3 linked regions of the Rhinolophus ferrumequinum genome follow. The protein of the gene in region 2 interacts with the protein of the main gene of each other region in a pairwise test. Links are inferred from orthologs where the notes say so. Each region holds a gene or a part of one and is shown on either strand. Other genes may lie near its edges.

Evidence for each region.
Region 1: the proteins of NAPB (region 2) and STX5 interact in binary tests that used the Homo sapiens proteins (3 or more experiments, as listed by UniProt). The two-hybrid records come from large-scale screens. The link is inferred for Rhinolophus ferrumequinum from reciprocal best matches to the Homo sapiens genes NAPB and STX5.
Region 3: the proteins of NAPB (region 2) and STX4 interact in binary tests that used the Homo sapiens proteins (3 or more experiments, as listed by UniProt). The two-hybrid records come from large-scale screens. The link is inferred for Rhinolophus ferrumequinum from reciprocal best matches to the Homo sapiens genes NAPB and STX4.

What each region holds. Positions count from the first base shown.
Region 1 is NC_046294.1:8,020,169-8,027,388, reverse strand, and holds the start of STX5 (syntaxin-5), read right to left. Parts: upstream 3,026-7,220; 5' UTR 2,871-3,025; intron 2,660-2,870; exon of another isoform or gene 2,214-2,659; 5' UTR 2,195-2,213; coding exon 1,970-2,194; intron 943-1,969; coding exon 872-942; intron 716-871; coding exon 660-715; intron 543-659; coding exon 472-542; intron 1-471. Other genes in the region: TEX54 (testis-expressed protein 54), read right to left, coding at 3,317-3,528, 3,635-3,716; WDR74 (WD repeat-containing protein 74), read right to left, coding at 3,907-4,086, 4,397-4,453, 4,534-4,679, 4,996-5,051, 5,138-5,238, 5,503-5,604, 5,757-5,903, 6,042-6,117. UniProt on the Homo sapiens protein: Mediates endoplasmic reticulum to Golgi transport.
Region 2 is NC_046306.1:43,857,576-43,864,820, forward strand, and holds the start of NAPB (beta-soluble NSF attachment protein), read right to left. Parts: upstream 3,335-7,245; 5' UTR 3,244-3,334; coding exon 3,146-3,243; intron 1-3,145. UniProt on the Homo sapiens protein: Required for vesicular transport between the endoplasmic reticulum and the Golgi apparatus.
Region 3 is NW_022680357.1:328,427-336,298, forward strand, and holds the start of STX4 (syntaxin-4), read right to left. Parts: upstream 3,026-7,872; 5' UTR 2,783-3,025; coding exon 2,753-2,782; intron 2,570-2,752; coding exon 2,468-2,569; intron 2,356-2,467; coding exon 2,256-2,355; intron 2,134-2,255; coding exon 2,059-2,133; intron 1,552-2,058; coding exon 1,481-1,551; intron 95-1,480; coding exon 1-94. UniProt on the Homo sapiens protein: Plasma membrane t-SNARE that mediates docking of transport vesicles. Necessary for the translocation of SLC2A4 from intracellular vesicles to the plasma membrane.

The DNA of each region.
Region 1 (7,220 bases), on a different chromosome or scaffold from region 2:
AACACCTGAGCAAAGACTTGAGCTTTCCCTTGTACACGCCATGCCTCTGCAAACACTGTTTCCTCTGTCTGGAATGTTCTTCCACGGCCTCTACACAAACCTTGAAACCAGCTCAGATTTGACCTCCTCTATGAAATATTTCCCAGTGTCCCTAGACTATCTCATTTATCTTTTTGTATGATCTTTTCAGCACACTTTCCTCCTATTCACTGTAAGTCTGAGTTTATGGGGCTGGTTACCTCTTCTAGACAATAAGCCCCTGAAGGCAGAAATCTTGCCTCATGTTTGTAAGGCAAGTGCTCATCACAGCGCTTTGTATACAGCAGATGATCAGTAAGTTTCTATTGACTCAATGGATGAGCAGGATGTTTGGGCTGGCTCTAGGAACTTGCTCTGGGTCTCCATGGCAATGGAAAATGATGGATGTGACCCGACAGGAGTGCTGGGCTCTCCTGCTAGCTAGTAGCTCACCTGTTTGATGATATACGTTAGCTCCTCAATTTCCACTGCTTTATCATCAAAGAGGGACTTGCGCTTTGCCACTGCAGAGACAAACAAGAAGGCAAGAAGGGTGAGGTCAAAGACAAGGCTCAGGGAGTCAATTCCTCAGCCCTCTTTGGTTCACTGCCCCATCTCTGAAACACCGCAAGAACACTCACAGATTGTCAGCTTCTCCAGCTTGGCAAATGTGTTGCTGAGGTCTTTCCCAATGCGCCTGTAAAGACGCAAGAGTGAGAACACTGTGGGAAAGGGTCTATTTCCACACTAGCTCCAGCACAACCAATCCTGCCCTCACTGCCAGGCCACCAAAGGCAAGCCCACTTCTCCTCCGACACTGTATCAGCACACCACATAACTTCTCCCAACTCACTTGGCCATGAGTGTGAATTCACTGCGCTGCCGGACAGCACGCAGAGCTGGTTTGTTTGTCTGTATTCCATTCTGAAAAGCAATGTCAACAGGTGAAACTTTAATTCCCCCTCCCCATTTCCAGCTTTCACTGTTTTCAGGTGTCCACTAAACTCTCTGTCTAGTACCAGTGGCATCCTCCACCAGACGGTCTAATTTTATCAGTAGCAGTAGTTTAGAGTCCATAGTTGAAGACAGGAAGACCTGGGTTCAAATCTTGACTCCACCACTTACTAACTGGGGGGTTGGGGGCAAGTTACTGAAACCATTCTGAATCTGTTTCCTCTTCTATAAAATGAAGACAATCCACACACCTCATATTATCGTTGCTAAGATTAAACAAGAAGACGGTTGCAAAGTATTTTAGCCAAATAGCTGGAACATTGAGAACACCAAATAAATAATAGTTCCTATCACCACTCTACCACTGTACTCCAATCAGGGAATTGAAGAGGATAATTGGAAAGCTCATACAGAAGAACAGTTGCTAACAAGAGCTGAGCAGTAAAAATATTTAATAAAATTACAGTCACACAGATCCCACTTAGATTCATAAAGTCCGGATTGAGACAAGGGAAAGCAATTTTTAAGAAAAGCACTTCAAAGTGAGTTTGATAAAAATTACATATATAAAAACTGAGGTCCAACTAACTTCCCCGTGGTCACAGAGCAAATAGTGGTAGAACTCCACCAGAACTAGAACTCAAAGTGCTTGTCTCTGGGTTAAAGGCTCTTTTGAGAACCTGCTCCTTATCCAAACGAAATATATTGCAGCCACCTCTCATCCTGAGATATTCCTTCCAGAATAGCAACCCTACCTTCCAGGGGATTCCTCACAAAAAAAGTCTGGATGCTTGCCTCTAGATAGGTTGCCCACCTCTTAGTAGATTCTCTATTGCCCCCTCCAAGCCTGCAAGCCTGATCAGTTCTCCAAGAGTTTCCGACAAAAATTACTCCAATCAAAAAAAAAAAAAAATTACATCAATCAACAGTGCTGGAGCACAGCCTCTCCCAAATTTGAGTAAAGCTCATTCCTGCCTTTCCCACTTCTGGTCCTTACCTGACGGCTCTGCAGGGACTTGCAGGCAGACAGGAACTCCTGGGTCCGATCCCGGCAGGACATGGTGTCGGGAGGGGGAGGGACCAGGGCCACTGGGGGGGGCAGAGGGGCGATGTCGCTGCTGCTACTGCCAGCAGTTGCAGGGGACAGGACCTGTGTCTTTGAGAGACCCAGGTAGACACCCTGATCCGTGTTCTTAGACCCGTAGCGTTTCCGCGGGATCATTGAGACGCATAACCTCGGACTGTTGTGGAGGGGAGAGTGTCATTCTCCAGGCAGTCTCCTTCCCCACAAATTCCCCCCAACCAGCAAATCCTTGGGTCCCAAAGCCACCCTCAGATCCTGGGGCCGGCCCTCAATGGGCAGGACCCCCCGCTTCCTCTCCGGCCTAAGCCGTTCCCCTCCTCAGCCTCTTCTTCCACCTTGGCTCAGGCAGCCAGAACGTGGGCCGGGGTCCCTGAAGCAGAGACAGGGCTAAAGGCAGGTCCCGTGGACCCAAGGCTCCAGCCCAGTCTGTGCATCTGCCGTAGGCCCTAACTGGGCCCTCTCGTATTCACGGGTTTCTTCGACTCCTCAGGGAGAAACGAAGACCGACCTCCGGAGGGGTACACACTTCGGTGGGCGGAGGGGGGAAATCTCTGGGTGTTTATTTGAAACAGGAAGTCCCACCTCCGCTCAAGCCCCGCCTTCTGGAAGACGGCAACTATTGATTAGGTAATGCCGACGTCTTTCTCAACAGGAGCTTTCCTGATTGGACGGCGCGGTACTCGCTCACCCGGAGCCGGGCCGGCAGGACTTGTCCGCGCGCCCCTAGTTCCCTTCCCCCCGCCCATCGCCACCTCCGGAAAGCCACTACCGGGGGCTGACACGGCCGCCAGACCCCTCTTAGAGCGAGTCCTACCTCCTCTCTGCCGCCTGCCGCTGCCGCCGCTACCACAATCTCCCGGGTCGTCACCACCTCCTCCCCGGGCGCCGAAGCCGCGGAAACCCGACCAAAGACTAGAAGCCGCCACGTCACCCACACGTAACCCCACCCCCGGTGACGAGGAGGCGGTGCCACGCCTTTTTGAACTCGGCAACCCAAGGGACACGCCCCCCACCCAAACGCAATGGGAGGCTCTCGCCCTCCCATTGGCTAGGCCTCTCCCCTGACTCCGCTCCCTAGGAACCAGAGCCTGGACCCAGGGGGCTGGGCCAGCCTCAGCGGAGGAGCCTTAAAGAGACCGCAGCCCCGGTGGTTCCCGTGCCTTGTTCGCCCAGAGCAGGCAGCCGAAGCATAAGCGCTCCGGCAAGTACACGTTAGAAACTTTATTCTCTGAATGGGGTGAACTGAGAGCAGGGCTGGGGTCACCCCTTCTCCGGCTCCTCCAGGACCTTCTCCGCGTTGTTCTGTAACATACACCCATGCTTTTGATTCTGGATTGATTGCCTCCTGTTTGACCGCGTGGAGCCCCGACGGCTGAACATGGATAGCCGCCTCCACAGCACGGTGATCAACAGGCTTTTGTTACGCTTGGGATTCTGGTGGTCCGACGAGTCCACATCAATCCCTTCGGTGTCTGCGGGAATGACAAGGCTGCTCAGCTCAGCTCTACCCTCCCCGTCCAACCTCCTGGGCCCTCCCCCTCTCCAGCCCCCTGGGTCCCCTGGTGTGTCTCATCCCACCTTCCTCTTCCACTTCCTCTGATTGGGCCTCCTTGGCGTGACCCTTGGAGGTTTGAAAGTCCTTGTCTTGGCAGCAGCCCATGGCCTGTGCAAGCCCGGCACTGGGTACCACCCACTCCAGCCCACCTGGCTCTCACCAGGCTTTTGTGACGTCAGATATCCCATCGCCTCAGCTTAGAGAGCAGCCACCCCTCTTTCATTTCTACCATCACAAAAGGCTCCGAGTCATGGTGGGTGTCGAGCTGTTTATTTACAAAGTGAACACAGGCTCTTCAGGGGCTGGTGGAGCCAGGCCGCTTCTTGTTTCTCTTTCTGGTTTGGAGAGCTCCTGGGGTCCGTTCCAAATCAGGGAGCTTCCGTTTGGCAGCAGCCTCCAAAGAGGCCCAAAGTTCATCTGCCTCTGTGTCTTCTAGGGGCACCTTACTGGGATCTTGAGGCTCTTGGGGCTCATCCTGGTGAGTGGAGAAGAGCTTCAGTGTCAAGGACACAGTCATAGACCCACTGGGAAGGAGGCTCTAGCTGGGAAACAATCACTTTTATTTCCTGCTCTGGGAACTCATTCCCACCCATGTTCCTGTCACCCTTGGCAGTAACCCTGTCAGGACTGTAACTATTAACATTCCTCACAAAAATTAAGTAATGCGACAGGTAGATGGATAGTCCCAGGTCTCTGTTCCAGCTGCTTCCTTTTTTCTTCCCACAGGGAAATAAATCCTCACATCTACGTCCTTGGCTCCCACATTCCCAGACACAACTGCTCACCTCCCAGTTATCCCTGCCTGACAGGAGAAGGCAGTTCAGTTGAGATTTGAGATAAACCTGCAAAAGATGAGGTACCTTAAGGAACCAAGCATGAAATAGAAACATGAATGGGGGCACATTTGGCAGCAGGCTCTCACCTTATGCTCCAGGCCCCGTGGATTCCGGATCCTGTGTACCCTCAAGATTCTGTCCAAACCACAGGAGGCTAGGAGGGGCTTTGAAGGGTGGCATTGCAACCCTCGGACACTGCCCGCTAGCCCCTTCAGACAGCCCAGTAGGCGCCCTGGAGAAGGGGGTAAGCATCAGTGCCAGCTGACCAGCCAACAACCATTTATTGTTTACTATTCAAATCACTTTACATTTCAATATTTAATCCTTAACATAACGCTGAAGTAGAAATTACCATTAATATCTCCATTTCACAGGTGAAGGAACTAAGGCACAGCGAGTCAAAGTAATTTGTACAAGGTCGTACAGCTTTTGAAACCAGGATTTGAACTCAGATAACCTAATACCTGAATGAGGGCTCAACCGCTCTACTGTCGTGCCTTAGAGGGCATCCTACCCTTCCCCTCCCCCAAGGCTCCCCAGTCCACTACCTTGCCGAAGGTCAATTTCTGCCAGCTGCCCATGAGTGTTCCCCACAATCACTGAACTGAGGAGGAGGTCAGAGGAAAGTGGGGTCAGCAGGAGCCTCCAAGAGTCCTTCCTGACCCCACTCTTTGCCCTCTAAACACTCACTTGCCCCCAGGAGTGAGAGTCATGGCTGTCAGTGGGTACTCTCCATAGGTGGCCTCTAGAACCGGCCGGCGCTGGGGGGAGGCTGGATCATAGACACGGACCTGGAGGAAGACTGCGGTATCACAGGGTACCCTCACTCCACATACCCCCCTATGGCTTCCCCACGTCTTCAACACCCCCTTCATATACTGCTTTGCTGTTTATAACCCACTCTTAGAGAAACTTTCTCATTTGAAATATATCCCTCTTCTGAGTGTTAGGGGGTTGGGGGAGAGCCGTTAGGAGCATAAATGGACAGGGATGAGGGAAGCGATCCTCCAGGTTGGGAGGTTAAGCCAGGAGGTAGGGATGGGGTGGTCTCTCACCTGATGGTACCCTGTACAGGTGACAAGCTTCTGTGACTCAGGGAGGAACTGTATGTCCTGGTCCCAGATGGGAACTCGCAGGTCAAGCCAGTCATTCCGTACCTGGTGGGGTGGGTAGATGGGGGGCAGGGTTGTGGGGTGCTCAATGTGTCCCTTCCTTCGGCCCTCCATCACCCCTAAAGCCATGGTCTCTGACTCATAATGGCCTCAGTTCCCTGGACCTCAGACCCAGCCCCTCCCCACCCATCACTCACATTCTTGGCTCTGAACACAGGCTCCTCAGACCCCTGCAGGTCCCACACCTTCAAAGCATTCTCTTTCCCACCCGTGGCAACTACGTGGGGGTGCACTGGGTCTTGGCGCATCCTACACACCCCAGGGCCCACCCTCAGTTCCAGGAGCTGAAAAGAATGGGAGATGAGATGAGGGATGAGAGTCAGTTCCAGAGTCCTTAATCCTCTTCCCCCAAAGCTTTCATTCAGCTCCCACCCTGGCCCCCTCCTTCCCCAACCACAGGGATCAGGGCAGGGGAGCCTCACTGGGCCGGAGGATGTCTCCTTGTCATTGTCACCCCAGACTCGAAGAATCCCAGAATCCACACATGTGATGAGGGTGCTGCAGAGGGAAGATAGACTTAGTTAAAAAAAAAAAAAGTGAAAGTATCCTCTAGGCTCCCTTCAACCCACCCCCAAATTAACTAAACTAAATTCCTACAGGCCTGTTCCTAAGGAAGCCTCTAGGCAACTCTGGTCTGGACAGGGCTTGGCAGCTTCCAGCTTCCCGTTGTTTAATTTCCTCAACAGAGGGAGGCTTTACCAGTTTTATAAGTGAGGAAACAAGCTCTGAGCAATTAAAAGATTTGCCCACTGAGCTGTGAATGTCAGAACCAGAGCTGGAAATCAAGTCTGTGATACTCCAAAGCAGAGAATGCCTTTGTATTCCACAGCTCCATCTGGGGTCACCCGGCCCCACAGGTCTTTCTGACTCTTGAGTCAGACACCAGGGAGTCAGAATCAATAACTCTGAAAGGACTGAAATGGGACTGGTTTGGATTTAGGGTTTGGCCAAAGTCAGACACCAGCTTCTTTTGAGTTCCATGTTCTGGGTTCCAGACGCTAAATGTCGATCTCTCCCTCAAAGTACCCCTCCCACAAAGCCCAAGCAAGTCTCTCCCCAGGAGCTGTACAGCCCGAACCTATGGTCCTTCTCACATTTGCTCACCCTCCCACCTTGGTTCAGGGTCTGTATCACTTCCCTGGATTATGGCAACAGTCTCTGAACTGCTTCCTCTCCAATTTATCCTCCACACTCTTACAGGCTCACAGCTCTGACCACAGCACTGTCCTCTCAAAAACCAGTAACCCCCACCACCTACAAATGTACAAATCTCTCAGCCTGGCATTTAAAGCCCTTTACAATGAAACCCAACCTACCCTGCCTATCTTGTATTAAAACGCTTCCTCAGCTTCAACCCCCAAATACTACTGATCGCCCCTGAAAGGTACCCTGTAGTGAGACATCAATCCTTGGCCTCTGCCAAGGCAGTAGCCTCTTCCCAGAATGCCCTTACCCCTTTCTCCACCTGCCCAAATTCTACCAATCCTTCAAGGTTCACTTCAAACATCTCACCCACACAGAGCCTCCTAGACCTCGCCTGTCAGAATTATTACTACCAAACACACACAGCCTGTTCACAACCTCCTCTCTCCATCTTTGGA
Region 2 (7,245 bases):
AGGATGTTTGGGTTTCCCGCAACCTTCCGTCCCACCTGGGCAGTCAGAATTCCCACTGTTTTCCATATCCAGAAGTTGTGGGGGCTCCTCGGGTCCCTCACTCCTTCGTGGGGAACCTCTGTGGCCAAGATATCTCTCCCAATTTTCAACCACTACATGTGGGTGTGGGACCAACCCGTTTCACGTCTCTGCCCCTCCTACCAGTCCCAACATGGCTTCTTCTTCATATCCTTAATTATAAAACTTCCATTCAGTTAGACTTCAGATGGTTCTCCAGGTTGATTGTTCTATAATTTAGTTGTAATTTTGATATGTTCACAGGATAAGGCAAGCACAGCATTTATCTAGTCTGCCATCTTGGATCTCCTTCTGAACTAATAGGTTTTAATCTGCAGTTTAAGAGGAAGTCTATGATGTGAAATATCTGCAAAATACTGAGCAAATTTTAATGGCTACTACATCCTCAAAACAGCATCACCTGTCCCCTTTAAAGTACTAATTGGTCAGCTCTTAAATATACGGTCTCAGATGACACTCCTATCAGTATGTGTGTTTTGTTAATTCAGAAGTCTGACATGGAGATGGAGTACACTGTGGTTTAAATAAAGAATAACAAGTACATGGGAAAATTCTATAGATGAGGAACGGGAAGCAGGATGGAGTAACATGTATTCCACCCTAGAAAGAGGGACACCATGTTTCCCCGAAAATAAGACCTAGCCAGACAATCAGCTCTAATGCGCCTTTTGAAGCAAAAATTAATATAAGACTTGGTCTTATTTTACTAGACCGGGTCTCATATAATATAATATAATATAATATAATATAATATAATGTAATACTGGGTCTCATATTCATTTTTGCTCCAAAAGACGCATTAGAGCCAATTGTCCGGCTAGGTCTTATTTTCGGGGAAACACGGTAGGTCCAAGTGATGCCAGATATAATGTAAGATTCTAAACATCCAAAATTGATACAAAATCTGCCTTTCCATTATAACTGAGAAAGAAACTAGGTGCAGTTTTTTACTTCAAATAATTATACAATTAAAACTCACAGAACTCTGAGTACTCTTCTTCCCCAACCTTTCCTGCAGCCAAGTATCACTGATCCAATAACACAGTCCTTCATAATATAAATAACATTTATATGGTACATTTATAAATAACATTTGTATGGCTCTTTCAAATATTTTATTTCATTAAAAGACCACAGTGATCCAGTCCATAGGGTCTTTGGCTCTGAAATCTTGGTAAAGTCATTTAATCTGCCGGGCTTTCTGCTTCCTTGACAAATAAATGGGACTGACAATTTTGATGAATATGCTAATTATTTCCAGCTGTTCTAAACATTTTACAAACATAAACTCATTGAACCTTCACTGTGAGATATACTATTCTTACCCTCTTTTTATAGCAGAGGAAACTGAGGCACAGAGAGGCTAAGTCACTTGCCTCAGGTCCGAAAGCTAGGACAATAAACTGATCTGCTGTATCCAGGTCAGGCCTAGGATGGTACAAATTGAGTGTGAATGGTGAAGATGAAAGTCTTCCTATATGGCCTGTCAATGAAATAGGTGATCAACAGTCAAGAAGAAAAAAAGATGTTTAAAAACAAAACAGCTGCTTCAAAATCCTTTTAGGATTATTGACTCAATTATTTGGTGTAGTTTCATAAAAAACAGTAATGCAACACCTCTTCACAAAAAGCAGTGTGTTCCCCTGAAACAAGCATCAAGTGCTAAAATGCTTTGTTCTTCTGCCAATTACAAATTCTCTTCCAAGAAAGGATATCTTGACTTGAAATACGCTGTGACGTGGCATTAGGTGCTATGACATTAAATTTTATCTGAATAAATTTTAAACATTTTCTGAATCAGAAAAAGGAACAATTGCTTAGTATTCACATCAAGTATTAGGCAGTACTCCTTATGTACTGTGGTAACTTTTAAAGGGGAACAAACTTACAATTCATTGCTATACGTATTTCAAACTACACATACATGAGAAACTTAGAACCCTGCTGGGATAAATGCCCTCTGAGAAGTTCTTGAGGACAGGAACCCTTACCTTTATGCATCTTTGTATCCCATACTACTTTGCATTGCATGAAACCTGCATTTAAGCATTTCCTGGAGATGTGTCAACAAGGGCAAAGCATTATAACCAAAAGAACAGAGGTGGCAAAACAAGCAAATTCCAAACTGAAATTGTACAGAAATAAAACTGCCACTTTGTCCTTCTCAAGAATATGCTCCTGGTGTCTACAGAGGATCTTTCACTTTCAAAAACAAAAATCACCACGAAATTTCTGCCTCTTATCCTAAACAGCTGAATCATTCATATTCAACCACCCATAATTCTTCCAAAACCATCAGTGCTTTTTGGGAAGTCCGAATGTAAAACTTTCCCTAGAAGAACATGGAAGAATTATAAGAAATTAAAGGATTCCCAAAAGATGCAGACTTAAACAGGAGCTGCATTATCCTTAACCAAACAGGAGGCCCTGGCTATTACATTAATCTCTGGTGAAGGAAAAATATTACGCTGAGAAAACATATTCGTTCATACAACGAATATTTATTAAATCCCTACTTGGCGCAAGGCAAATGGGCATATGAACACTGGAGTGGGGTCGCTGCGGCCGTCTGCTCTTCCGCGGGGCCCACCGCCCAGCGGGACAATCCCCCCACCCCCAGATGCACCGGCCAGGAGTCCCAGGACCCGTCCCTCCGGCTCCTCCCGCTGACCTGGCACAGGTCTCCCGAGCTATGCGGTGAAATGAACAAATCGGCCTCGCCACTGCGGTGAAGGCCCACGCACACCCTGGAATGCAATGGACCTGTGAGGCCGTGGGAACCCCCGCACCAATGCAAGAATAGCGCCGTGCTCCGGGGGTCACGGAGAGGGCAGGGGATCAGAAGAAGGGGGGGGGGGCTCTGGGGTCCCAGAGGATCTCTGGAGGGTGCGTAGGGGATGCCTGGGGCGATCTGGGGGGTTTAGAGATCGCGTTATGGCGAGGCCTGGGGGCGCTAGGGAATCTCTGGAGGAATCTAGGAGGCCCCAAGGGAAGCTTGGAGGGCAGCCAGGCGGGGAAGGAGCTTGGGACAGAAACTCCCTCAGGGCACGCGCGGCCTGACGCTTACCCAAACAGCCCTCGGAGGAAGGAGTGGGAGGCCTTGACTCGCTTCTCGGCCTCCGCCATCAGCTGGACTGCCTCACGCTCCTTCCCCGCGTTGTCCATGTCGCCAGCCGCAGCCACCACAGCCTCCTCAGCCGGCAGGGGAGCGTCTTCCCCGCTCTACCCTCGCAGGGGCGGGGAGCGCAGGCACGGCGCGCTCTGCCTCACGGGATTTGTAGTCCCGGGTCCACCCTGGCGGCCAGGTTGCGCAACGCATCAACTACAGTTCCCAGCAGGGCTCAGAGTGGGTGGGGATGGGATCCGAGCTTGCAAACCGCCCACACCGGTGGTTTCCGAAGGGTGATCCTAAGCCTTGGTGAGTTTAATCGTTTAAGTATGCGGGGAATTGGGAAATTACCCGTGGCTTTCCGTAAGGATCGCCTCAACCCTCAGCATCACAGTTGGTTCAGGAATTCCTTCTCAGTAGGACTGACAGTTGGCAATGGGATGGATGAGGAAACAGGATAACATAATGGAGTGCTCCACCTGCAGGCCAGTCGAGTTCCACAAAAGGGAATCTAATGCAGTGTGGATGAAAAAGGGGCCACATACTACTAAATCTGACAAACTCAGAGGAGGCCAGCATGGTAGGTCCTACAAACTCAGAGACTGAAATTAACCATATAGGATGGTCTAAACAAAAAAAAAATTACTAATTAAAAGGGGTCATGGTGAGTAGTCACATCCTTGGCCAGTACTTCCCCTGACAAACAAAGGCCGATCTTTATCTTAAGTGAGTCTGTTGTTGTTGTATATCTAAGATAACATACCCTTGGAATGTCAGAGCAATCCTTTTTTCCAGACCCCTCAGGACACAGTCCATCGCACCAGACAGAACCCTTATTGTTCTCTTGTTCCCAGAATACCATCTCTATGTGCTGTAAAATGTTAATTATTAACTATCCTGTACTCACCAATGTAAAAGAAGTATGTGTCTCTCCGTTTCAACCAATCCCAGAGATTTCCCCTCTTTGCTTTCTCCCACCTTCCTTACACCTCTTCCTTCCTAATATATGAAATAAGCTGGAAAACTGCCATTCTCTGGAGTTTTATTAACCCACTGAGATTTTGCTTCCTAGCAATTGTCATCAGTTTGGCTCAAAAAACTCTAAACTTCTCTACAGGTATGGGTGTTTCTTACATTGACAGCAGCCACAGAAAACAACTTCATTAAATGTGTAGCGTCCACCCACCCACAAGCAACAGCTGGCAGAAAGAGCCATTTTTATTTCTAGAGCAAGCCATTTAAGAATGTATCATTTCCCCCGATATAAATTCAGAGTTATTTTTCAGGCTTCCCATATTGCAACGTTCTGTTGCTCCTCTCTTCCTTGGTTATAAATAAGTTGCATATATGCAATATATACATACTCCAGTCTTTTTATTGACTGAATTCTTTTTGGTGGATGTTTGCCATTGAGCTGTCTTATCCTTTATATAATGCTGGCCGTAGGGGGTGGGTCTCCTGGGACACAATTCCTGCATGCCAGGAAGAGTTCTAATCTCTTAAGAGAAGTATCCATAGATAGATGCTAATCATATGCCAAACATTTCCAGAACTGTCCCAGAAGGAGTTATTATTTTTTTAATACAAAGTCTAGACCATTACATTTGGCAATGCTAAAGCAGAGGTGGCAAAGCAAACATATAAATCACTGCCAAATGAAAACTTGTGACAATTTCAAATTATTAGTAAGTACACTGTGGGCACTGGCACACAAAATATATCTAAGAAAATGTAGTTTGCCTTTAGAGAGCAAGGAAAGAAGGGCCAAACTCCTAGAGAGAAAGATAACTAAAGCAAATGTCACAGTTTTATGCATTGCAGGACACTCTAGAGATAGAAGGAAATCTCCGATCTTAAGGCAGAGTTTATTTACTATTATTACATGCATTATTCTAACTTTTGGAGCAGTATGGGGGAAAAAAAGGGAAGGAAATTGGAGGTGGCAGTAAATGCAGGAGTAAAAAAGAAAACTGAAAAAAGTGGACATAAGAATTTGAAAAGCAGAGCAGTCCATGGGGACTTAATAGAGTGGGGCCAACTCAAAAGCTCTGAAGTGCAGCATCAGTTTGTTGATTAAAGCAGTTCCCAGACTTAGCTCAATGCGGAAACTCCCAGAAATACTGATTCCTAAGCCACTAGCTTTTTGTATCAGTATTTCCTAGAGTTGGGGTCCAGGAAGTACACATTTTAAAAACACCTCTCCATGACTGTTCTAAAGCTTACAATTCTAGATTCTCAAACCTGTAGTCAACTAAAACGGAGATAGAATTAACTGCCTCCTCTAAACTAGAACTTGCAGTTAAGGGTTGCAAAAGTATATATTGACATTTTTTATGTTTCCTGGTATTTCCCCCATTTTCTTCTTTCTCACAGGAAACCTAACAGGCACTCCCACCCTTCCCCCAGCCCACACCCCATGCTATCTATCAGATTTAGCAAAAAACTTCAAACCTTAATTGTTGTGTAGAGCAAGTGTTTTCTTATCCCAGAGGCTATGGTAGGTGAGTGGAGATAACAGAGCAGAGAGACAAACCTCACAGAGTAGGGACTAGAAAAAAGATGAGGAATCCTTGCAGGAGGAGGCTAAAGGAGACCTGCTCTGGTGTGGAATAGAGAGGGAATGAGACCCTCAAGTAGAAGCTGGTCCCAGAGTAGATCCAAAGGATCCATGGATCTACACCCATGCTGATTAGGATGGAAGCCACTCACCACAGGTGGCCATTTTAGTTTAAATCAAATAATATGAAATGAAATGTAAAATTTCATTCCTCAGTCACACTAGCCACATTTCAACTACTCAATAGCCACATGTAACTAGTGGCTACCATATTGGACTGCACAAATATAGAACATTTTTGTCATTGCACAAGGTTCTAACGGACAATGCTGGTCTGTACACCTATGCCTTTCAGCAGCCCTGGACACTGAGACAAAGAAAAAGGGAAAAGTCTTCAGACAGTTTCTGAAAAGATGGAGCAGGAAAGAAAGACCCTGTACCCAGAACGAGGCAAAACCAAACAGAATCTCTGGCTTTTCCCTATGAGCAGATTAGGGTGGACACAGACACTCAGACTGAGTGAACACACAGAAGCTAGATTGGAATGTCAAGTGTTCAACTACCCATCCTGAGAGGTGGTCTGCAAAGGCAAGGCTGAAGCCACTTGAGAACATGCAGCTCTAAGAGAGGCAGGGTCAGACCTACATGGAAAACAAGGTGTGGCCATCCATCTGCATGTGCTCATAGAAGGAGTGTGGTGCAAAGAGAGTCCTGTGTGGATTCTGGTACCAATGGAGAGTGCAGTGGGTACAAATGCAGTGCACCTCCAGGATTGCATGGCTGGTGTCCTCACTGTCCAGCGCAGGTACCCAGTGCACTGGGCGAGTGCCTGCAATGTAGCTGCGTGCAGCTGACTCTCACTACTCAACGGTGCAACAGCAGCTACCAGTTACTAAGTTCACTTAGTGTCACCCTCCTCCTCTCCTTCTGATTCCAAAATCAGTAGGAAACTTCTGACCATGACTAGCACTTAATATTCCTATGCCTCCTGGTCCCAACTGCCAGCACTTGCAATTCTCCTGCGAATTCTCTTTGGACTTCAGTCTTCTCTGCTTGAATGCTAGAGGAGTAAGTGGAAGGGGTGGTAAATTAACTTCATCAATATGGGAATTAATTGGTCTCTGCCTCTTGGGAGCAGCCCTCAATCAGTGACTGTTGGGAAGTTGGAGGATAAATACCCATCTGCCGGGACAATTCTGAACAATATTCTACAGTCTCCCGGAGGTCCCAGTGGGAATGAGCTCTAGTTGCTGACAGTAGAAACTGGCTTGTTCTGTACCCTTTTTTGGCCTCCTTCTCTTCTGTGACCCCATACCCCTACTGGTGATGCCCAGTGTCACCTCCAATAAATTGCTTTCTCTAGAATCCTTGTCTCAAGGTCCACTTCTGGGAGGACACAAACTAAGACAGGGAGACTATGCACTGAGGACCAATAGGTGTGTTCTGGTCCCCAAAGACATCATGGTGTTCATTACAAATTTATAAATTGGCATTCTTATCT
Region 3 (7,872 bases), on a different chromosome or scaffold from region 2:
TCCGAATGCGTTCCACGTTCTTCTCCCGGTACTCGGACTGCATCGAGTTGCACTTGTTGATGAGCTCCACGAATTGCTGGGACAGGACCCCGTGCTGAGGATGGAGAATATGCGCTGGGCACCTCTGGGAGGATCTCCACCCTGTCTGGACCTCGGCACTCCGTGAGCCAGCAGCACAGGCTTTCTAGGGACCTGCTGCCTTCATGACCTTGCAAGGTTGTTACCAGGACCTGGACCTGCCCTCCCCTGGCCTCCCTGGGACCCACCTCCTCCCACTGTGCCGCCCTCACTCCCTCCAGCCGCAGTGGGCTCCTTCCTCTTCCGGCACAGAGCACACCCCACCTCAGGACTCTGCACTCACTGTTCCTTCCGCCAAAACACTCAGGCCCCACAAGGTCTTAAGTTCCGATGGTACCTTCTGAACAAAACTGTCTCCACCTTACTGAAATTACAAGCCTTCTCCCAGCACTTTCAATCCCTCTTCTCCCACACCTTTCCCCTTAATACGTAATGATGTTATACAATCATGTTCTAGGGATGATTACGATTGTCTCCCCTCATGAGAATAGAAGCTCCCTGAGGACAGGGATCTTTGGTTCAACACTGGACCCCAAACAGCTGCTTGTTGAATGCCTGTTGAAACCAGCCTCACTGCTTAGAATGGACGGGTGCTAGTATGCATGCAGTTCAGACTGCTGCCCAGATTTTACAAGCCCACCTGGGCCCCCAGCCTCTCCCACTGATGACCATGGGTCCCTTTTGAAATGCCCTCCTGCCTTGTCCATGTGTCTGACGCCTTATTCCTTGGAGTTCCTTGCTCTCCTGGCCTCAGCTACACCCTTTCAAGATACCCAAATTGTGCCATCTTTAATCTGGGCTCCTTGCTGAGCTCTGAGCCCACCTACTCTGACTCTGACCTCCAAGAACTGCAAACCAGTTCTCAATGGACACACAGAGGGGGCCAGTCAGATCACCTCAAATCACCTTCCAAAGATGTTGACCCCAGGAGGTTCCTTTCCCTGGTTTCTTGAATTCTGCCCACGGGGCAGAGGGTGTCCCTGCCACCTGGGCAGGAAACCTCCCAGTCATTCATGATTGCACTCTCTTCTTCGTGGGCAGAATCACTAGCTACCAAGTCCTACCTGACTAATATTCTTGTTACCTAGTCAAGCTTAACTTCCTCTCTTGGCTCCTAAAAGCATGTCTCCCACAGCTGAGCCCAGGTCACCTCTGGGGAATCAGCAACGTCTCATTGAATGGAGCAGAAGAAGGCAGGGTGTTAAAATGGACTCGGAATCAGAAGAATCTGGCTTCTTGACCTTGAGTGAGTCCTTCCTCTCTTTGAGCCTCAGTTTCCCCATTTGGAAAATCATCAGGTTGGACTTGATGATCTCCAAGCACCTTTCCCTCTTACTTCTGTCGTCTAATGAGCTATGAAGCACATACTGAAATGTGTTCGTTCTGGGACTAACAAACCCACCTGGGTTTTTCTCATTCTTGTGTTGACCGAATTATAATTCTCATCGGCTTCCTCCTTCTGGGGCTCTATGGCTGTGGGAAGAACAAAGGTGTGGTGGGGGAGGGGGTTTGACCTGTAGCTTCTGAAAATTGTTTGGGCTTCAGGACACAGGGCCAGGGCCACACCCCAGCCACACAACAGGGAGGTGCTTGTCTCCATAAGATTTTTTCGGGACATATAATTTATCACTAAATGACTAATTCTGAGCCTCTGACAGGAGACAATACATTTTTCTTTGCAACACATCAGAGAATTCCCACAGCTATGCAGAGGCCACAGAACTAAACCCTCATCTTCCTGCCCAAAGAAGGCACACTGGGCAGCCAGAACTGTAGGAGTAAACGGTTTCATAATAAAGGAACCTGAGAAGCAGCCATGTGCTGTGCAAAGTGCTATGGACTGGCAACCCGGGAGATGGACATTCTAGATTGCTGTGACCTGGATTTATCACTGGCTTCTCTGGGGCACACACTCCCCAGATCTGTCAGGAGCTGGGCAGAACCCCAGGAAAGGATGTGTCTGAGGTCCTAGGAGCTCACCCTTCAGCTGCCCGCGGATCTCCCTCCCCAGCTGTTTGATCTCGTCGCGCAGGTTCTGCAGGTCCTGTTTCATGCCTGAACAAGAGAAAGCAGTCCCTACATCAACACATCTCCCTGGCCACCACCTGCGTGGAACTACAATCCCCAGAATCCCCTGGTTGAGCGTCTGTGCGTTCTGGATCCAGGTTTTCACTCACTCTCCTCGGGAAGGGGCGTGGCCAGGATGGTGACCTGCTGCTTCTCCAACTCTCGGACTTTATTCTCCAGCTTGACAATAGCCTGCCGAATTATCCGGACCTGGGAAGGGTGACCGAGAGGGCTGAAGGAGATATGGGGGTACTGCAGACCGCACTGCCCCTCGGGTCCTCCAGCCCTCTCGTGAATCCTGGCGGAGACCCCAGCCTTTTACCTTCTGGAAGAACGCATCGTCCGGGCTCTCCAGCCGTGCCGTGCCCGGGTGTACCACCAGGGCGACCCGCTCCTTGTCCTCGTCGTCCGAGCTGTCATCCCCCTGCCAGGGCCGGGTGCACTGGCATCACTTCCTTGCTGTGGCTCTGTCCCCGCAGGACTCTCGGGCTTCCGGGTCTTCCTAGCCCTCAAGCCACCCCTCCCTGCTCCGAAGACCAGGAGCCCTGCCTTCCAGCCAGACCCCAGCCTGTCCTCCCGTCCCACCCCTGCAGCCCCGACTTCTCACCTGCCTCAGCTCATGGGTCCTGTCCCGCATGGCGGCCCGAGCTCCCTCTTCCCAGCGCCTCAGCCCCGAGGGCCTCAAGATTCTAAGTTTGGAACTCCCGTACCCCACTCACACCCTGACACTCCCAGTCTGCCCTCACCCTGCGGATCCCCAAGCCCCCCGCGAGCCGCCAGAGGCTCTGTCCCTGACACCATCCACAGTCAATGGTAAGGAGCCGACCACAGTGACCCCCAGGGTTCCACAGGTCGGAATTCCCTTTTCTTTCCCCCCCTCCCGCTCCAGCAGCCTCGGCCCCGCCCACTCTGGGTTGACTCGGGGCATGCGCACCGGGTGGCGACTCTTCCCCACCCGAGAGAAAGGCGGAGGTCGGAAGCGACAGCGCCCCGAGCGGAAGCACCGCTGCCAGGTTGTGAGAGCCCGCCCCCTTGACCGGAACTGGGGCATCTTCCAACCGAAGTCCTGTTGCCAAAAGGAGTGGGGATGCGTCATGTGTATGTAATCGGAGCGGCCCTGCATCTCACATCACCCCATGGTACTCCCCTCGCGCCACGTGACTGGCCCGGTCCCAGCCTCCCGGGCCACCGAACGTGACGCTCTCACTGTCACGAGTCCCGGATTCTGTCAACAGAGCTCGTCTCTTGGAACACCCCTCGCCACGACGTCCCCGACCCCCGGCGCCCGAGCCACGGCCCTCCGGCTCCCACGAGGCGGGGACGGGGTGCTGACTCTCTCCAGAGACCTTGTGAGGCCCTGGGTGGCAGGGCTATTGATGAACTCGGCTCTGTTGCTTTTGAGTCCAGGGGCGTGTGCAGACGGACGACCTAGAACTGGAGGCTGTCAGCGCGATGGGACCTTGGAATCCAGAAAATGCTAAGCTCCGGCGTCAGAGACTTGCAGGGTTTTGAAGGCAGAGAAGCTGGGGGTGGGAAGTGACTTCACTCGAGGCAGAACTCTCTCCTCCCGCAGACTCGGGGTGCAGCCTCTGACGTGGGCGGCTGGCGCCCCGCTTGAACACAGCAGGCCGCCACCTTCTGAGCAGCCAGGGCAGTTAGACTGAGAAAAGCCTAGTCTGTATTGTATCGAGCCGTTTGCCTTACACCTGGGTCTACCCTCCGGGGCCCACACAAAAATCCGTCACAATGTTCCACTTTATAGGGAACTGAGTGCTCCGGAAGTACGGGCATGACTGTTTGGTTTTCACCCGAATCCCCAGCGCCTAGTTCCGTCCCTAGCACCTAATGTACTCCCAATAACTGTTTGTGGACAGAGTATTAGCTTTTCACGTGTCTGGAGAGAAAGCTCACGGTTCCTTGGTCTTCTCTTTTAGGCTTCAGGCTTTCACAGTGACGCTACCCTACTCAGGACCCTCTAGAGACATTCATTCATTCAGTAGATATTTATGGGGCACTTAATATGGGCCAGACACAGTTCTAGGAGCCAGAGATACATCACAGCCTAACAGATAAGAATACCTTGCACTTGTGGAGCTTACATGCATGAGGGAGAGTCCCCAAGGCGGCAGATTGAGTCTCAGCACACCCGGAATGACTGACAGGTCCCCGGGATCCCAGGGCTCTTTCCCAGGGAGATTTTATGAAGGTTCAAGCAGGGGAAGGAATGTCCCCTCTCTAGTATGTCCTGGTAAGGAAACCTAGACTCCTATGCCCGAGTTGCTGTGGACTTCTGGAAAGTCACTTGTCGTCTTTGGGCTTCCGTCTCCCATCTACGCAATAGGAGGCAGTAGGGGGATGGGGAGATAATCTTTATGTGTATTCTCTGCTGTGAAATTCAATGTTTATGTGGTTGGAAACTGGCAAGTGCTGTCTGATTCTGTATGAGGGTTTTGATCCTTCTTCTCTTCCCTTTAGAACCCAGCTGGGCTGGGAGCAGGAATGAAGGAATGAGAATGCTGCCACACTGATCGAGTGTTGCAAGCACCTATAAGGGCAATCGCTACACTTCAGTCTCTTCCTGAAAGTCAGGGGGACATTAACCCCTGGGCAGGGCCCTACGTCCCTGCGTGGTACTTGCGACATGAGTGGGGAACAAAGTCCTGGCACACAGGTTCAGATAGAGTAACACAGCTTTATTTGGGAGCCAATGTCCCTCCAGAGGCCAGTGCTCTGGCAAGCACAGAAGGTTGTACAGAGTAGAATAGACTTTAATAACAAACCAAGTCCCAGAGTCAATCGGGATGGAGAAGGTTCCTGGTCCGGGAGAGGCGACTGGGCCCACGAAGTGTCTGAGGCGAGCTGGTCTTGCGAGGAAGAACTTCGGAGAGTCCGGGAGTATCACAGCTTGCATCTTGCAGAGGGTCTTAGCCGGAGTGCCCAGTTGACCACTCATGGCACTGCTCTGGAGTTCTGCTTTTATCTTCTTTTCCTTGCACTTGTTTACTTCTTAGGTGATAACCAGAAGTGGTTTGCCAGGAGTTGTTTATCTCTTAGGTGATAACCAGAAGTTGTTTTGGTAAAGATGTTTATCACTCAATTTTGTTATGCTCAGTTTCACACAAAAACATGTTTTTCACTTCACTCTTATCCGTCTCACACATGTGTGGCCATAGTCCTGTCCCTAGTAAACAACTTGTTTTGCAAACATATATAATACATTTTCTATGCTCTATACATCAAGCCACTGGAAAATTAAGGCTTGGAGGGCTTTTCAGGAGCCAAGCCCTGGCCCGTGGGCTCCTCTGATGGTCCTAAGGAAGGGTTTCTTCCCTTCTCTTGGGTGTTCCATATCAGCCTCTCTGCCCCCCTGAACCGCACCCCTTTTCTCTCTGTCTCTGTCTATCTCTCATACTCCGTCTCAAGCTTGAGTGGTACAGTGGAAGGAATTTTGGATATCTCGCTACTGGTTCTGGGTGTGATTTTAAATAATTCATTGCTCCTCTCTGGGGCTCAGTTTCTCCCTGGTTATTTCCATCTTGCCTAAGGTAAGAGCTGAAGAGTACCAAGAGCGGTTAGGAAGGACATGGAAGGGTTTTGTGAAGTATCGAGGGTTCCCACTCTGCAGGCTTTTACTGCTGTGGGTTCAGCTCTCTGGGCCCACCTGTCTCTCTCTGCTTCTCAGCCTTTGCTGACATGCCTTCTTGGTTCCCAGCTGTGTTTTGGAGTTGTTGCTGACTTTCTTAAATTGCTCAGGAGTATGATAGTCATGATTTTATTTGTGGTCTTTGGGTGGAATCGCGGGGCTTTGGGAGGGTGTCTTAACGTTCCCAGGGATCAAAGCCTTGTGGACCGGTGTGTGCAGGGGATAGGGGTGAGGGGCCGTCTAGGGAAAATGGCTCTTGGGATGGGGCCCTCCAGAGCTGAACCCCTATCTCTGTGCCATGGTCCTCTGTTGCTCAGGCCCGCTCAGCAGCCTGGAAGTGGGTATTAGGCATATTGGGTCTTGGATGTGCGGGTGTTGGTGGTGTGTGTGTGTTTTCCTTTCAGTCCGTGTAAGGATCAGGTCCTACCTGGTCCTGTGGCTTGGCAGCGTGCCCTGTCCCTTCCACTTGTAGGCTCGTCCTACCAACACTGGAGCTAGACGGCCTGGCCTGGAACCCCAGCTCGTTCACCTACTGTATGACTCTATAAGGCAGGTTACCTAACCTCTCCCTGCCTCAGTTTCCTCATTTGAAAAATGGGAACAATAACAGTACCAGCCTCTTACACAGGGCTGCTGTAAGGATGACATGAGATGACACATGTAAAGTGACTAGAACAGTGCCTGGTAGGCAGTAAGCGTCGTGGAAGTGTTTGCTGCTATGACCTGAGGTCTGACGGTGGTTGTTACTAGGAAGGCGTCTGCAGCCCCAGTATCCTCTCCAGGGACCCCACTCTGCTGCTTATCCAAGGTGTCTGTCCCCTTTCCATCTCCTGAGCCCCACTGTGTTGGTCCTAAGCTGCTAGCCTTGCCAACTCCTGCAAATCTCTCCTGTCTGTGCTTGGATCTGACACATCATATTTTGCTTGTTTATTTTATACATTGTCTGTCCTCACCCCTCCTCTCCACCCTACTAGAAAACAAGCTCCCTGAGGACAGGGATTTTCACCTGTGTTGCTTACGGCTGTGTCCCCGGCTCCTACGGCACAACTCTGCCTGGCACAGAGGAGCTGGTCAATATATATTCAAATCGAATGAAATTATTTCTCTTTAATTTAAAATGTCTATAGCACTTACTGCGTGCCAGGCACCGACAGGCACTTCATAAATATTTACTCACTTAATCCTCGTATCAATTCTGTGAGAGTTCTATTATCATTCTCATTTCACGGAGGAGGAAACTGAAACACACAGTCATTAAGTAACCGATGTCCATATGCCAGCTCCCCGACACAACGTGTCAGGATAAACGCCATAAAAATACTAGAAGAAAATATGGACGAAATCCTTTCTAACACTTGGAGTGAGAAAGGCCTTTCCAACTGCAGCTAAACTTTCAGAAGCTATAAAATAGAAGATTAATATATTTGTCTACATGAAAATTTTCTGCACGGCAAAAACATCAAAGCAAAATCAAAAGACAACAGACTGGAAAAAAAATTGTAATTCTTATCAAAAGGCTAATATCCCTACTATTTAAAGAGCTCCCACATATTGACAAGGAAAACCAACAGTTCAATAGAAAATATGAAAAAAAATATGACAGACAGATCACAAAAAAATACATAAAGACTTGAAGACATATGCAGATGTTCCACTTCATACATAATAAGAAATGGAAAGTTAAGACAATACTGAAATACCATGTTTTATTGCATTCGCAATAAAAAAAATTAAAAATCCATATATTTGATAAAACACTCTTTTGGCAAAAGTCGGGGGGAGACAGAGATTTTCACCCATTGTTGGTGGGAATGCAAAATCATATACCCTAGACAATATTTATCAAAATTCCAAATGCATGTGCACTTTGAACCAGCAATCCCACTTCTGATCTATCTGAACGGTTTTCCTGCTGTATCAGCTACTACTTTGTAACAAGCCACCTCACTACTCACTGGCATAAAACAACAATTTATTATTTCTCCGGATTCTATGGATGGCTGGTGGCTGTTCTGCTGGTCTTGCCTTAGGTTACATAAGTGTGGCAGTCAGTCTACTGTGTTTCCCCAAAAATAAGACCTAGC